Caenorhabditis elegans: one gene and its partner. The protein of the gene in region 2 purifies or fractionates together with the protein of the main gene of each other region. This does not show direct contact. Each region holds a gene or a part of one and is shown on either strand. Other genes may lie near its edges. The genes, in order: lst-4 and mtm-1.

Region 1 (9,405 bases), on a different chromosome or scaffold from region 2:
TGTCATATCTTGAAATGGGAGGGGTTAATGACCGCGACGCAGGTGCGAGCGGCGCGGCTCGATCGAGAAAAGTTTATTTTATTTTTTGCCCAGAATGCGTGATTTTTCATTTAAATCTTCAAAATTTTCGATTTTTTCAGAGAATAAAGGTTTTTTAAATCTATTTTTACCAAGTTTTGTTTATTTTTTAAACTTTTCCTTAAAAAAAGAAGAAATTGTTAAAATTTAAAGATATTTTTCGAAAAAACGGAAAAACGAACATTTTCAATTTATTTCTTAAAAATTTAATATTTTTAGATTTGTTATAATTCGAAAATTTGACAACCTCCATGTAAACGCAAAAAAAATCCAAAAAATGAAGGAAAATCACGCATTCTTGGCAAACGTCTAAAATAAACATTAATTCGAGCCGCTCCGCACGCGGCTGCGTCGCGGTCCTGGCAGAGTTTCCCAACCCTCAAAAACTCTTCCACTTCAGGATATAAGGGCCTCTGTTCAGTACCTTGTGCACTTGAATAATATCCGGCACATTTTGCACTGTTCCCTTATACGAATAAAGGTTCTCAAGCACTGGTTCCATGTCATTCTTCGTGTGCGCATCGAATACTTGCCCAATTTCATGATATTCTGATGCAGTGTAGGCGAGAGCTTCTGTCAGGCGGCGACTGGCTGAAAAATTAGAATTTTTAAATTTATCCAAGAACTTTTAAAAATCCAAAGATTCATACCAACGGTCTCATCAATCTCAAAAGATTGCTGAAGTGTCTTGAACGCGCTTCCCATCTTTTGCCAATTTTGTTTTACCGCTGAAATTTGATTTTTTTAATTTAAATTTTTAAAGCTCGAAAATTTCCAACATACGTCCAGCGAAGACCTTCTGGAACATGTTCATTCTCTCCTGCATCACACGCATCGCTTCTTCCGATGTTTTGACGCTCCGTTGGAATCGTTCAACTTGCATATCGCTGGAAACATGTAGGATTACGCAGGATTATCAAACTTTCTGCGTAGAATTCTATTAGTTTCTTACACATTATTCGGATCCAATGGTTGATGTGGAACAGTGATACAGTTCAGGAAAGCTCCACCAATGTATTCATCCTTTTCAGCTCGCCGCTTCCCATTCTTCCAATCTTTTTCGTCGGTGCAACTGATAAAGTGGAGCCAAACTTCCGACTGACTCAACACTGGATGCCTACAAATCTTGTTGACCCATAACTGAAGAATGTGCTTCCGATGATCAATAAGATCCTCCTCGTATCTTCCGGCGACCTGTTTCTCTGGCAACGGTGGAATCGGAATGAGCACATATTTAGCCGATAGCTGCTCGTGGAGCCAATCGAAATGCTTGTAGCGACGGGATACCTGACGCTAGCAAGCGGTTAGTAAGCGTCGAAATCTACAAATTTACCTGAATATTAGTCAAACTCGACGTAATCGAATATGCGATGAAGCTCTTCAGCCCTTTCAGCTTTGACTCTTTCTTCGGTTTATCCACTATACACGTGTAGTACTGTTGAATCGGTTTCCATTGAATAATTCCATTGTTCATCACAACTTCATGTCGTTCACTAATCTGTGAGGTGGTCTTTGATTCACCAATCACGTACGCTTCGACTCCGGACTTTACAAAATTCGAGAATCGATTGATGTTCTTGTTGACCTTATTGGATCCTCGATCAGGTCCACCGTGTTCCGAGTGGCTACGGCTGAGGTCACGACGGGAGTTCGAGCCGATCGAGGATTGAACGTTGGGCCGAGTTGGTTCCTGGAAATCGGAATTTTTTGATTTTTTTTATTTTATAACTTTTTGGACACAAATAAGGAAAACATGCATGCGTTACATAACAACCTCAATAGTTAAGGAAGCTTGATACTTTAAGCCAATCAGAACAACGAGCAGTCCCGTACGCCTCAAACAACACGTGGAGTCAGAAAGTCCCGCTTCGCTCTGATCTACGAAAAATGCGGGAAGTGAGACGCAGACATCTGATTTCGCATGGTTAAGAGTGTGCTGACGTCACAATTTTTTTGGGCGAAAAATTTCCGCATTTTTTGTAGATCAGACCGCATTGAGACCAGGGGTGAGCGGCAATCGGCGATCGGTGATCGGCGATTTTCGTGATTTTTCGGCGATCGGCGATCGCCGATCGCCGATGGAATTTTTCAATAAATTCATCTCGATTTTTAAAATCTCATGTTTTTTTTAAACGATTGTTTTGTTGTTTTTAATTTTTTTTTTGAGTAAATGTTAATTTTTCGTCGCATTTCCTTACCAAACAAAAAAACGGAAAGGTGTTTTGACCGAATAACTCGGTTAAAATAGCCGATCGGCGATCGGCAATCGGCGATCGCCGAAATTTTTCGGAAATTGGTGATCGCCGATCGCCGAAATTTTTCGGAAATTGGTGATCGCCGATCGCCGAAAAAAAAAAAGTTTGGGCGATCGGCGATCGCCGATCGCCGATTTTTTTGGGCGACTGCTCAGCCCTGATTGAGACTTTCTGACACCACTTGAAACAACTTATCGAACAACCCGAACCTTATTCTGATCGTGGTGAGACCGATTCGAGCTCAAACACGAGCTCACCGACTTCTCAACTCTCCGTCGACTATCTCTCTCCTCACTGAGACGTCTCCGTCGGGCGGTGCTATCTTGCCTACTCAAGCGCTTTTTGGTGCTCGTGGAGCGGGTAGACGAGCCCACACTACCGTTTCTTTTGCTAGAGGGGTAGGCACCGTCTGCAATGAGATGTGTGAGCGTTGTTAAAGCCACTATGCTTTGAAAATCTTGTAATTGCACATTCGCGGGAAATGAGAGATCGAAAAGAGAGAAACAGAGAAGCCACGTGGCTCCACGTTTTTTCGTTGCGAGGAACATCATCTCTTCTTCAATATCTAACCTTCCAACGAATGTGTAATAGATGTCCGAATGCTTCGCCGACAAGAACTATTCTAATAACCTTGCTGACTACTCCTCGTCTCGTCGTCAGTGGACATATCCGTTCGAGACCCACTTGCACGATGATGATGATGACGAATCGAGTTTTGATAATTCACAACTTGATCATGGACGGACAGACGGTGTTCCTTAATCAACGGATTACAAAAAGTGCTAGAACGCTGAACGTTTCCCCTAAAATATCTAAAAACGAACCCACGACGGTGAGAACGAGACGCTCGCCCTATGAAATCCACGAATTTCAGTAATAGGAATAGGACGGTTATAGAAGAAGACGTCGGCGTCCGATTGACGCAGTCGACGCATTTTTGCATGTATATATATATATGGATATATGTATATATATATATATACATATATATATATATATGTGAGTATGGATATCCAATAGGATCACCAAAAAAGACTCAACACATGATGATAGTTTTCGAGAGGCGTCGGGTGGCGACAGAGCAAAAATGAGCTGGTGGAGAGTGCTGGGGGATTCTCAATAGCAGCAATCAGGAGAGATGCTTGCACATATAAAGCGCGGGGTGTTGCAAAGAGCAGTTGAGAAGGGATATCCCTATTTTTGAGAAGAAAATTTGGGTTTTTTTTTTGTTTTTCAGGGTGATTTTTTAATTGTATGCGTAGTATTAATTTTGAAACCGACATGAAAAGGTGCTCCGCCCCCGAACCATAGGTCTCGTTAGGTATTGGTGTCAAAGTGTCTCACTTCGGCGTGATCTACAAAAAATGCGGGAATTTAGACGCAGATTTTTCAGCAAATTTCGTATGGTTAAGAGCGTGCTGACGTCGCATTTTTCTGGGCGAAAAATTCCCGCGTCTTGTAGATCAAACCGTTATGGGACAGCCTGACACCCCGTGTATTTGGCGTTAGGTATCAGTTTCGCCAATTTTTGAGAATTTTCCGTTGTTTTAATGATTTTTTTGAGCACGTTTAATACCCAACGAGACCTATTTTATTGGGGGCGGAGAGTTTTCATTTGCAGTGGAGCGGTGTGTCCCAATACAGTTTGATCTACAAAAAAATCGTGAATTTTCTCCCAGAAAAATTACGACGTTAGCACGCTATCAACGAAATCAGTTGAAATCAGGGGTGTGCGGCAAATCTCAAAATTTGCCGAGCTCGGCAAATTCGGAAAATCTCTTTTTTTCAATATTTGCCGAGCACGGCAAATTCGGCAAAGTTGCCGAGCTCGGCAAATTCGGCAAATTCGGCAAACTCGCCGTGCTTAACAAACTCGGAAAAATTTGATATTTTTTTTATGTTTTTTGGAGCACCAAAACTACTGAATTCTTAACACACATCTGGTTTCTGAATAAGTTCCGCGTAGTATGTCTGTTTAAGCATCAAAATAGCTCAATTTTGTATCATTTTACTAAATTTTTGGCTAAAAAATCAATAGTTTTAGTCAAAATTGTACTGTCAAATTTTTGACGTGTGCGGCAAATTTCGAAATTTGCCGAGCTCGGCAAATTCGGCAAATCTACTTTTTTGAAATTTGCCGAGCTCGGCAAACGGCAAATTCGACAAATTCGGCAAATTTGCCGCACACCCCTGGTTGAAATGTCTACGTCTCACCTCCCGCATTTTTCGAAGATCAAAGTGCGAAATGGGACTTTCTGACTTCACGTGTATTAAGAAAAAACCTTTGAATGCTAGAGTTAGTTGGAGTAAAATTAATAAAACCTATAAACTTAAAAAAATTCTAAATAAAAAATCCCAGTTAAATAAAAATGTCCTTTACATTTTGAAACGACGGCGACTGATTAACTTGTAGATGATCTAGAGCGATAAAGCTCGAGGATCGTCCACGAGCAAACAGCATTCGCGAAAATTTCAGCAGCAGCAGAAGTTGTTGTAGTAGTAGCAAATAAATCTGGATGACATTTAAATAGTCGCAGCCGACGACGAAGAGAGAGAATTTCGAATGATTAGAAATGAAATGTCCGAAGAGAAGAGGGTCCAGCGGCGACGGAGTGGAGAGACGACTTCTACCGGAAACCAAGTTGCGGCGGCGACGACAACGATGTCGTTTCCCGGCGATTTTTGAGGAGGATGACTATTCTTTTTGGACTTTTCGTTTGGTCTTTTAGGATATATAGATTTAGGAGTTAGAGGGTATAAATAGGACGGACAGAAACTGGACAATCAAAAAATTAAAATAAAATTTTAAAAATACCTGCTCATCATCCTCATCCGTCCATTCATCGTCAAAATCATCATTCTGTGATGGATATGAAGATCTAGTGACTTCCGGTACAGATGGCGTTGGCTGATGATGATGTTGGGCTCCGTAGGATGGTGGAGCAGCAACTTCTGAAGCGCCTCCCCAATCATCAAAAGGACGCGATGAGGCAGCTGGTGGACCGCTTGAAGTTGGTGGGAGTGGTGGTGGTAGGACCTGGAATTTTTGAGTATTTATGAAATTGTTTAAAAAGTTAGAAAATTGAAATGGGATCTGTGTGTCATGTGGTCCCATCACGGATTGATCTACAAAAAATGCGGGATTTTTTGCCCGACAAAATGTGACGTCAGCACGTTTTTAACCGTGCACACGTGGTGTCAGGCTGTCTCATTGCGGTTTGATCTACGAAAAATGCGGGGATACTTTTCAAGAAAAATTGTGACTTCAGCACGCTCTTAACCATGCGAAATCAGATGAGATGTCTGCGTCTCTTCTCCCGCATTTTCGAAGATCAAAGCGAAATGGTACTGTGCGAAATCAGTGGATAACTCTACGTCTCAATTCGCGCGTTTTTTGTAGATCAACGTAGATCAAGCCGGAATGGAGCACTCTGGGAGCTACAGTTATTACGTATACGTCACAAGAAAATGGGTCTCGCCACGCTGACAACTGTAAATCGACACGAGTAACAGAAACTTGTTGTCAGCGTGGTGAGACCCGTAACCAACTACTAGAGCTCTATTTTGTGATATGGTACGGTAGGAGTACTGTAGGATTACTGTAGAATAACAAAACAAATCTGTTGTGAGCTTTTGTGGAGTCTCCAGCGGTGTCCTATTTGAGGATCGACCTCATTAAGTTTGGTAGCGAACACATGGTGTCAGAGTTTCCCATTTCGGTTTGATCTACGTTGATCTACAAAAAAAATGCGGGAGAAGAGACGCAGAGTTCTCATCTGATTTTGAATTGTAAAGAACGTGCTGACGTCACATTGTTGGGCAAAAAATTCCCGCATTTTTTTTGTAGATCAGACCGTAATGGGACGGCCTGGCACCATGTGAGCGAATGTAAATTTCAAATTGTCAAAATTTACTCTGTTTGGCACCTACACGTGGTGCCAGGCTGTCCCATTACGGTTTGATCTACAAAAAATGCGGGCATTTTCGCCCAAAAATATGTGACGTCAGCACGTTCTTAACCATACGAAATTAGTGGAGAACTCTGCGTTTCTTCTCCCGCATTTTTTGTAGATCTACGTAGGTCAAACCGAAATGAGACACTCTGACACCACGTGCACCTATGAATTTGCCTCAGAATTTCGAGGAATTTCTGAGAGGTTTGGAAAGAATCGAAAAGATTATCTTCTACACAAAACCCCTACACTCTTCGATATTGCTCCACTTTTCTTAAAACTGCTCTTTCTAGACGAGTGCTTCCCAGTGGAATGCTGTTCATCCTCTTCCTCCATCAGAATAGGTGGCTTCATCTTATGCGGTGAAGCAGATGTGTCTTGTTTGATGAGTGTACTACACGTGTGTCGTCGAAGCATCTGTTTGCGACGACGTTCGAGAAGCTGCCGATGAGCATCTTCAGATGAGCCGCCCGGTGGTGTTGGGTAGTTCTCAACGGCCTTTCGAAGACTCGATGTGAAGAGCATTCGCGAAAAGATCGAAAAGTCGGATAAAAAGTAGGAAATCTCTTGGCAGAATGAGTGGAATATAAGACGAATCAGGTATATAGAGCTTCTTTGAGAATCTACTTATTTTGTTTTCAAGTATCTGGACCGCCGTCTTCAAGTGAGTAGGAGGATCCGAACGTCTCCAGGGACCCGAGGAAAAACCAATTTCAAAATAGTTTTTCTTTCTTTTTTTTTCTATTTTGTTCCAGTCTCTTCCGCTTCATCTCACTCCTCTTTGTTGCGTTCTTCTTCCACCATCTTTTTTATTATTCAAATTTCATGGGCTTTTACTCATCTTTCTCTCCGTTTTGAATATTTTTCGGAAACAAGCATCAGATTCAGCGATTTCTAGAGGGTTCCAGCAGCTCAAAATGCTGATGAGAAGGCAATTTCAATCATTTTGATGCTTTTGGCTCACCACAACCAATTTAGATGCTCCCCGCAGAAATGCACACAACGAAGACACACAACGAAGACACACACACACACACACAAAATACAATCAAAACCGGAAATAGATGAGAAAGTGGGTTAACTAGAAGACAAATGGGTTACCGGTGGCGGACGAGAAGCTTGATAGGGAGTTACGTAGGATTCGGGAAAGAGTCCGACGGATCCACGCACGTTTCGACCTTCTATCCATCCTCCGTCGATGTTCTGAAATAAAAACTCTTGATTTTGCTTTAAATTATAGAAAAAAATGGGCTGAAATGATCGAATAATAAATTCTTTTTGTGATTTTTTTTCCATTTTTGGGTAAATTCTTTCGTTTTTCTTATTTTTTTAAAGAGATATTTGAATTAAAACGCCATTTATCAGTTTTTCAGACATTTTTCCGCGGAGAAAACTTGTTCTCCGGACGAAAATTGGCCTAAAAATCAGGAATTTCATATATTGATAAGAAATTTTCAGGAAAAACGCCTGGAAATCTGACAAAACCAATGAATTTACACCATTTATCAGTTTTTTTTTGTTTGACAAAATTATGTAAATTATCAACGTTTGGCCAGATTTAAAGTTTCTGCGTATTTTGTTCGAGGAATCGAGTTTTCGCTTCGGAAAAATGCCTGAAAAACGAATAATCAGTGTTTTAAAACAAAAATTAAACAAAAAATTAAGAAAAAACAGATGAATTTCGCCAGAAAACGGGAAAACGCCGATTTATTCACGCGGGAATTCAAAATTAATTTAGCCGATTGTTTCATTTTACGATTCAAAAAATCCTCGAACAACTCTGTTCCACCTGCTCAAAAAGCCTCTTACCTCTCGAATAACCGTCAAAACTTCGCCAGCCGAGATTGACAGTTCGCCTGTGTTTGGTTGACTTTGAAAATCATACTCGGCTTTCACCTGAGCCATTTCTCTGAAAAAAATGTTAATTTTTAATTTAAAATATTCCAGAAAAAGAGTAAAACTGAATTTTCAGCAAGGTTTTTCAGTTGATAAGTGTCAAAAAAAGCGAGCGAGCAGAGAATATGAGAAATCAATAAAAAATAAACAATGAGTCAGCCAATATTTCAATACACAACGCGGCAACTCGTGATGACTGGTGAAATTGGGAAGTTTTTTAGGGAGGAGGAGGAATAGGTGTCAAATTTCCATAGGCATATGATTAAAATTGTTGAATTTTGGGTGGGAAAGTGCATTTTTGGGTAAAAAAAAACACTGTTAAAAGACAAAATGCAGCAATTTGAAGAATTTACAGAGTGCTTTTTCGTTATTTTCACAGAAAAAACTTTAGAAAGGGTCCAGTTCAATTTAATTTTAGAAAAATGGGAAAAATTCGCATAAAAACCTGACAAAATTAACCTTTATCGCTCGAAAATAATATTTTTTTTCGAAATAAATTCAAATATTAAAATTCCCGCCGCAAAAAGTTGTCAATGGAGCGCACTTACAGCCAAAAATTGTCATTGGAGCGCGCTTACAGTAAGCAATTTTTTATTATTTTTTCAACTAATTTTCAAGAATTTTTCTTTCACAGTGATATCAATCTATGATTTTATACTTTTTTATAAGAAGATCAGCAATTTATTATTGACCACGAAATAATTATAATCTTCCTTATAGACTTTTCTAGAATTAATGCGATTATTCCGAAAACACAACACACAAAGTGTTCGTTTAGCACATATTTTTCGGCAAAGCAACAAAATTCCCTATTCAAACAAATATAATTAGACATAGCCAACGACATCCGATATCTTGCGAAATCATCTGGAAAACGGTTTCGCAACACAAACCACCGGGGGTGACGCAAGCAATACAGTTATATGAAAGGAAGCAGCTTTATGGTCACAAACACAAAAGCCAATCAACTTCGGAAAAAAAATACGAGAAGCGCAGAGAAAAAAACGGTCAAACCGAACGCGAGATCGTAAAATCGGATTGTCCTGCCAGGCGGTGGAAGGTGAACCGGTTTTTTCCTGATTTTTCAGTTCTTCTCGATTTCTCCTGATATCAAATCAGCAATTTTTCGAATTTTCCCGCGAAAATATTTATGTTATTGTCAATTTACCCTGATTTTTCACAAATTTCCCACATTCTCGCTAGAATTCTATGAGAAAGTGATA
Region 2 (7,297 bases):
GAGTGCGCGAAATTAGCCATTGAAGATATGGGAAGGTACTTGGATAACAAGGAAGGAGAAGTGGCGGTGAGTTACAAAGGAAAAAATTTCAAAAAAATATATAGACATAAACTTTTTATTCAGATTCTCGACGCGACAAATACTACAAGAGACCGACGAAAGCTTCTGATGGAGTTTTGCAGAAATATGATGCACGAGCCACCATTCCGTGTCTTCTTTGTGGAATCTGTTTGTGATGATCCTGATATTATCAACTCGAATATCACGGTAACCTTTAGATCTTCAAAATAATCACCTTAACCCGCATATTTTCAGGAAGTGAAAATCAATTCGCCAGATTATAAAGGAATAATGTCTCAAGAGGAAGCAAAAGAAGACTTTTTGAAGCGTATCGAGAACTATCGAATGCAATATGAGCCACTTGATGAGGATCATGATGAAGAGCTGAGCTATATCAAAGTTATCAATGCCGGAAAATCCTTCTATGTTCACAATGTTAATGGTCATGTGCAGAGTCGTGTTGTGTATTTCCTGATGAATATTCATCTTCTTCCAAGAAGTATTTATTTGTCAAGAGTAAGTTTAACAAAAAAACCGAAAAAATTTTGCGCTAAAAATAGGTAACAGGTCTCGACGCGAAAATTTTTATTAAATGCCAAAAAGTGTGCGTCTTTACAAACTACTGTAGTTTCATTTTTTTTGCTGCCGAGTTTTCATTGAGTTTCAGTTTTCTCACGATTTGCTGTAAAAACGTTTTTATTTTTTATTTCACTTTTTGATAAATTAATATTTTTTTACCAAACAAGCTAAGAGAGCCCGTAAAAAAACTTGAATTTTAACAAATCGTGAAAAAAAAAGAAAATCAATGAAAATTCCGCAGCAACGAGAGTTTGAAATTACAGTATTCTTTAAAGGTGATGCCTTTTTTCATTTAACAAAAATGTCGTGTCAAGACCGGACACCGGTTTTTTTGGCACAAAATTCCGTTTCTGGGATATAATTCATTCAATTAACAGCACTGAGAATTATCAAGTATTTTTAAACTTTTATAGTTTAAAAATCCCTTTAAAAAATTTATTACAGCATGGAGAAAGTGAGTACAACAGAATTGGTCGTCTTGGTGGTGATTCCCCACTCAGTGAAAATGGTTTAAATTACGCTGGAAAACTTCGCGAATACTTCGAAAAAGAAGATTTGGACGATTTCCGTGTTTGGTCATCTCAAAAGATTCGTGCCGCCCAGACAGCTTCTCATCTGAAAGATCTCGCTGGTCATACAGAGTTCTGGAAATGTCTTGATGAAATCGATGCCGGAATATGTGAAGGATTAACTTATGAAGATTTCGAGGCTCGTTATCCGAAACAATTCGCTGAAAGAGATAAGGATAAATATCACTACCGTTATCCAAGTGGGGAATCATATGAAGATCTGGTTGCTCGTCTGGAGCCAGTTATCATGGAGCTTGAGAGACAATCCAATGTCCTTGTCATTTCTCATCAAGCAGTTCTCCGTTGCATTCTTGCCTATTTTACTAACAAAAATCGAGATGATCTTCCATATCTGAAGGTTCCATTGCATACAGTCATCAAGCTCACACCAAAAGCCTATTCCTGTGAGATTGAACTTTTCAAATTCGACATCGAAGCAGTCAATACTTACAGAGAGAAGCCACAATAGGAAGTATTTATTCTTTATCTAGCCAATTATCTATGCCAAATGTACATTTATTTTTTCATACAAGTTCCCATTTTTATGTCGGGCGTTTTTTTTGAGATTGCATTTTCCCTGTTTTTGAACAATTGCCTTTGAATTTAAATACGTTGTCGTTTATGTGAGAGTTATAAAGATTACATCGATTTCAATTTTATGGACTGATTGCAATATTTCTCGCTGTGTCATTTTCTACAATAATCTATTTTTAATGTATTAAACGGTCAGGAGCCACATTAAAAATTTAAAAGAAAACCAAACAAGAACGCGTAACTGAGTTGTTGTTATTTTAAAAGAAAAATCAATTCATATAAAAATTAATCCTTAAAGGCGCAGAGATTTATTCAGATGGGTCCCGACGCGCAAAAAAGTTTATGGTAATTGTGTTTGAATTTTTGCGGCTGCTTCCTCGTTTATTTTTCTTGCATTTTTCAATTTATTAAGGGAATTTTGTCGTTGTTTAAAACCATTGTATGAAAAAAACACAGGAAATCCCACATTTTTAATGGAAGTAGTTTATTTGTACTTTGAAAACTGATTTTAAACATATTCTGACAGAAAAGTGAAAAGAAAACGACATCTGAATAAATCCATGCGGTTTTAAAAAGGATTGCCAAAATATTGTGAAGTTACGATAAAAACAAAGCTGAAGCAAGTTGTATTTATTTTCTGCACATACCTGCGTCTCTTAGTGGCCTTCTTCTCTCTCTCTCTCTCTCTTTCCCAATAATCGTTCCACTATTCGGCTTTCAAACATTCTCATACACTTTCAAAAATCAATTTACAGGAAAATTGATCGAAATGTCAATATCAATGGATGACAGAGGGAACAATAGTGGAGAAGTTGGAGAATGTGAGTCATCACGAACTATTTCGTTATGAAATTTCGTTATTTGAATTCAATTTATTTTATCATTTCAGTTGCCAGTTCATCAATGATACAAGAATCAATAGATCTCAAATTGTTAGCCGCAGAAAGTCTTATTTGGACAGGTTGGAATTGATTTTTTAACAATTATAATGTGAGGAATTACAGAGAAAAATGTGACATACTTCGGACCACTTGGAAAATTTCCAGGTAAAATCGTAATTACTAGGTATCGAATGGTTTTTCTCGTTGGTGATGGTGGAAAAATGTATGAGGTTTGTGATTAAAATTTTAAAATTATATTTTACAAATATAAACAAAAAATTTCAGCAATGGAAGCTCGATATTCCACTCGGACAAGTGTCTCGGATAGAAAAAGTTGGTAGAAAGACGACGAGTGTTGCCAAACGAGGCGATGATAATTATGGATTCACAATTTATTGTAAAGATTATCGAGTTTATCGATTTACATGTAATCCAGCATCGAGTGATAGAAAAAATGTTTGCGATTCGTTGAATAGATACGCTTTTCCGCTATCGCATAATTTGGTGAGTTTTTTTTTTAATTTTAATAGGGGGCTTTTGGCTCTAGAACTATTGGAAATGAAAAAAAATTCTGATATTTTTTTTTAATTTACGAAAAAATAAAATTAATTATTCATTTATTGGTTAGCAAAAAAATTAAAGTTAAAAAAACACGGTATCGTAATTTCACAAGTTTTCGCCTTAGAAAGCCGCACGGATTTCTTCAAATGGGTCTCGGCACGCAAAAAGTTTATTGTGTAGATTTTAAACAATCAATGATTTATTAAAAACTTACTTGACAACCAAGAAATAGACAGCCTAACTTGAAAAACAACATTATTCAACCAAAAAAGGAAATTTTCAGCCAATGTTCGCCTCTGTACATGCAGCAGAAACACCTAGACTTATGAAAGATGGTTGGAAAATTTATTCAGCTGAAAAAGAATATGAACGCCTTGGAATCCCGAATTCACGTCTTTGGAAAGAAGTGGACATTAATAAAGACTATAAATTTAGCGAAACTTATCCAAGAACTGTAGGTTAATGATGGTTTTCTTTTTTAAAAATAATTTTATTTCAGTTTGTAATTCCGACAGTATCTTGGGAGGAAGGAAAACCATTTGTAAAGAAGCTCGGCGAGTTTAGAAGCAAAGAAAGAATTCCCGTGTTGAGTTGGATTAATCAGACAACTTTAGCTTCAATTTCACGATGCTCACAGCCAATGACTGGAATTTCTGGAAAAAGAAGTGCTGAGGACGAGCGGTAGGTTTTATTTTTATTTTTAATGATAATAAAAAATAATCGGAATATTAATATTCTAATATGCTGAAATGTCACAAAAGAAAAACGAAAAAAAATATTTGGAAAATCGTTTATTAAGATATATTTTTTAAAGCATTCAATTTTTCAACAAAAAATTATATTTTTCAGACATCTCACGAACATTATGAATGCCAATGCTAATTGTCGTGAACTTCTGATCCTTGATGCAAGACCAGCAGTCAATGCAAAACTTAATAAGGCAAAAGGTGGAGGTTATGAAGAGAATTATGTCAATGCTCCTCTAACATTCCTCAATATTCACAATATTCACGTTGTTCGGGATTCATTAAAACGATTGCTAGCCGCGCTGATTCCACGTGTCGACGAGAAGGGATACTACAAAGCGTTAGACGAATCGAAATGGCTCAATCATGTTCAGAGCATTTTGGAAGGAGCAGTAAAAGCTGTCTTCAATGTTGACACTGAAAAACAATCAGTATTGATTCATTGTTCTGATGGTTGGGATCGAACTGCACAGCTGACGTCGTTGGCAATGATTCAACTCGACTCCTATTACCGTACAATTGAAGGATTTATCGTTTTGATTGAGAAGGAATGGTGTAGCTTTGGTCATAAATTTGGAGAGAGAATCGGTTCGTTTTTGATAGATTTTAAAAATCATGCAATTAAAGTTGCAGTAGCGTGAATGAGGATTTTGCTTTTTTTAAAAATCCATTCAGAAAATTTTTAAAAAAATCAAAAAAATTGCGAAAAAAAATCCAACTTAAAAAACTAGATTTTTCAGTTCTGGCGAAGTTCCCAGTTCTCATCTTGGGGAAAATTCAAACAGGAAACTTACTAGGGAACACGATAACTATAAGTTATACTTATAGTTATCGTGTTCCCTAGTTAGTCAAAATTGATAAATCGAATTTTTTAAAATTTGAATTTTTCATCCGTTCGCAATTTTATTTCGTTTTTCTGTTGTGGTATTTCTGAATTTGAGAAAAATTTGGAATTTTTTGAAGCTAACAACTATAAAAAATATTATTTGAGAACCAAAAATCTTTGATTTTATACTTTCCGTTCAGGTCACGGCGACGATAACTACAGCGATGGAGAACGATCTCCCGTATTTGTTCAATTCTGTGACTGCCTATGGCAAATTATGCGACAATTTCCATGGGCATTTGAATTTACACAAGAACTGCTAATTTGTATGCTCGATGAGCTCTACGCTTGCAGATATGGAACATTTTTGTACAATTCCGAAAAAATCCGGCTGAAGGATAAGGTTGTTTTCATGAAGATTTTTTCAATTTTTTTTTTTTCAACTTTTCAGAAATGCGATGAAACGACGATATCGTTCTGGTCCTATGTTTTGGAAAATAAAAAGAAATTCAGAAATCCAATGTTTAAGCATGGAAGTTAGTTTTCTGTTAAACTAATATTAAATCTCAAAATTTTAACTTTCAGAATCCAATAAAGTGATAAACGTAAACCCATCTCTCTGCGGTTTACATGTATGGATTGATTACTACGCCCGATCGAATCCATATGTAGTTACTCCAAATCATGAGGTAAACAGCAGTTCCGCTAGAAAATGATAATGAATTAATTAGAAGTTTTAGGATGTTCAACAGCCAGGCGCACAGTTTGTCGACGAGAAAAAGCAATTGTTGGATGAGATTATGGCTCTTGACGACGCTGCTCAAAAATTGACCGCCTAGTTATTTTAATTATGCTCAGTTATTCAATTTTGTTGTTAGACTTTTAAAAATTTAATTTAGAACTTTTCACTGTGATTTCATTTTGCTTTCTTTATGTGCATTGTACAATATTATATGAAAATAATTCATCTTTAAATATTATTTAATTAAATACAACAGCTGTTAAAATTAAATACAACAGCATAATAAAGAATAGACTGTTAACAGTCTATTCTTTATTATTCAAATTCAAATTTGCCGCCATTATCGTTGCTGACGTTTTTCCAGGGAGCGCGCGAAACACATGCAATTTTCAAATAGGAAAAACAATTGATCCAGTATTTTTCCTTCCTTGCTTTGATTTTATTGCTTCAGACTTATTATTCCGATCTTAAAAGTCAAATTAATTGATTAAATTCTTTAAAAAAGTAATTCATTTTCAGATGGAAGTCATGAACAAAGAAAATATCATCGCCGATGCGCCTTCTGATGTCGTAAAAACCGTTCAACAGCAAGTTCACTTGAATCAAGATGAATATAAATATTTGAAGCAAGTTGAGCAAATTTTGAGAGAAGGAACACGAAGAGATGATCGCACTGGGACTGGAACTATTTCGATTTTTGGAATGCAATCGAAATACTGTTTGAGAAATGGTAACGCTTTCGATTTTCCATTTTAAAAATTAATACTTTTATAGGCACAATTCCGTTGCTTACCACGAAACGTGTCTATTGGAAGGGAGTTCTCGAGGAATTACTTTGGTTTATTTCTGGATCGACCGATGGAAAGCTTTTGATGGAGAAAAATGTGAAGATTTGGGAGAAAAACGGCGATCGCGCGTTCCTTGACAATCTCGGATTTACGTCTCGTGAAGAAGGAGATCTTGGACCAGTTTATGGATTTCAATGGAGACACTTTGGGGCGAAATATGTGGATTGTCATACAGATTACTCTGGACAAGGTGTTGATCAGTTGGCTGAAGTTATCCGACAGATTAAGGAGCAACCGGATAGTCGAAGAATCATTATGTCCGCGTGGAATCCGTCGGATCTTGGACAAATGGTTCTGCCACCGTGTCACACAATGTGTCAGTTCTATGTGGACAATGGAGAGCTCTCGTGTCAGCTTTACCAACGAAGTGGAGATATGGTGAGCAAAAATTTCAATGTAGTAAATTACATATTTTACTAGAAGTTAAATTTCAGGGTCTCGGAGTTCCATTCAACCTTGCCAGCTACGGCCTTCTCACCCACATGATTGCAAAAGTGTGTGGATTGAAACCAGGAACCCTTGTTCATACTCTCGGAGATGCTCATGTCTACTCAAATCATGTGGATGCTCTCAAAATTCAACTGGACCGTGAGCCATACGCTTTCCCCAAAATTCGATTCACGCGAGACGTGGCCTCAATCGATGATTTCACTTCTGATATGATTGCCCTGGATGACTACAAGTGTCATCCAAAAATCCCAATGGATATGGCTGTTTGATTTATTTTGATGTAACATTTTAACACTCATCTAATTGTTTTCAGTTTTATGAAAATAAACATTGCAAGGCTTCTATATACACTACGCATATCAAAAACATTACAATAGAATTTTTCCACATTATTCAAGAGAAAAAAAAACTTGTCAATAGGTTAGAGCCCCAACAGGAAATCGAATCAGTCATATTTTTTTCTATATGCGTGTTGTTTCTTTCGCTCTCCCACTCCTTCTT

What was found.
Region 1: the proteins of mtm-1 (region 2) and lst-4 purify together in Caenorhabditis elegans (affinity purification with western blotting, with the first as the bait; one study listed by BioGRID). This does not show direct contact.

The regions. Positions count from the first base shown.
Region 1 is NC_003282.8:14,061,660-14,071,064, forward strand, and holds the start of lst-4 (Sorting nexin lst-4), read right to left. Parts: upstream 6,812-9,405; coding exon 6,536-6,811; intron 5,371-6,535; coding exon 5,149-5,370; coding exon of another isoform or gene 5,074-5,148; intron 3,004-5,073; exon of another isoform or gene 3,001-3,003; coding exon of another isoform or gene 2,964-3,000; intron 2,743-2,963; coding exon of another isoform or gene 2,543-2,742; intron 1,769-2,542; coding exon 1,412-1,768; intron 1,372-1,411; coding exon 1,031-1,371; intron 966-1,030; coding exon 862-965; intron 807-861; coding exon 729-806; intron 670-728; coding exon 503-669; intron 1-502. UniProt on the Caenorhabditis elegans protein: Involved in the signaling of vulval development by acting as a negative regulator of epidermal growth factor receptor (EGFR) signaling. Aids in phagosomal membrane tubule formation which is required for phagosomal fusion with endosomes and lysosomes.
Region 2 is NC_003279.8:5,132,244-5,139,540, forward strand, and holds mtm-1 (Phosphatidylinositol-3,5-bisphosphate 3-phosphatase mtm-1), read left to right. Parts: upstream 1-2,495; 5' UTR 2,496-2,523; coding exon 2,524-2,563; intron 2,564-2,631; coding exon 2,632-2,703; intron 2,704-2,746; coding exon 2,747-2,853; intron 2,854-2,908; coding exon 2,909-3,127; intron 3,128-3,467; coding exon 3,468-3,638; intron 3,639-3,683; coding exon 3,684-3,865; intron 3,866-4,033; coding exon 4,034-4,518; intron 4,519-4,956; coding exon 4,957-5,159; intron 5,160-5,207; coding exon 5,208-5,292; intron 5,293-5,341; coding exon 5,342-5,445; intron 5,446-5,496; coding exon 5,497-5,595; 3' UTR 5,596-5,728; downstream 5,729-7,297. Other genes in the region: pfkb-1.1 (6-phosphofructo-2-kinase domain-containing protein), read left to right, coding at 1-66, 124-267, 316-576, 1,084-1,677; tyms-1 (Thymidylate synthase), read left to right, coding at 6,027-6,228, 6,273-6,724, 6,781-7,065. UniProt on the Caenorhabditis elegans protein: Lipid phosphatase that specifically dephosphorylates phosphatidylinositol 3-phosphate (PI3P) and phosphatidylinositol 3,5-bisphosphate (PI(3,5)P2). Negatively regulates accumulation of PI3P on intracellular vesicles.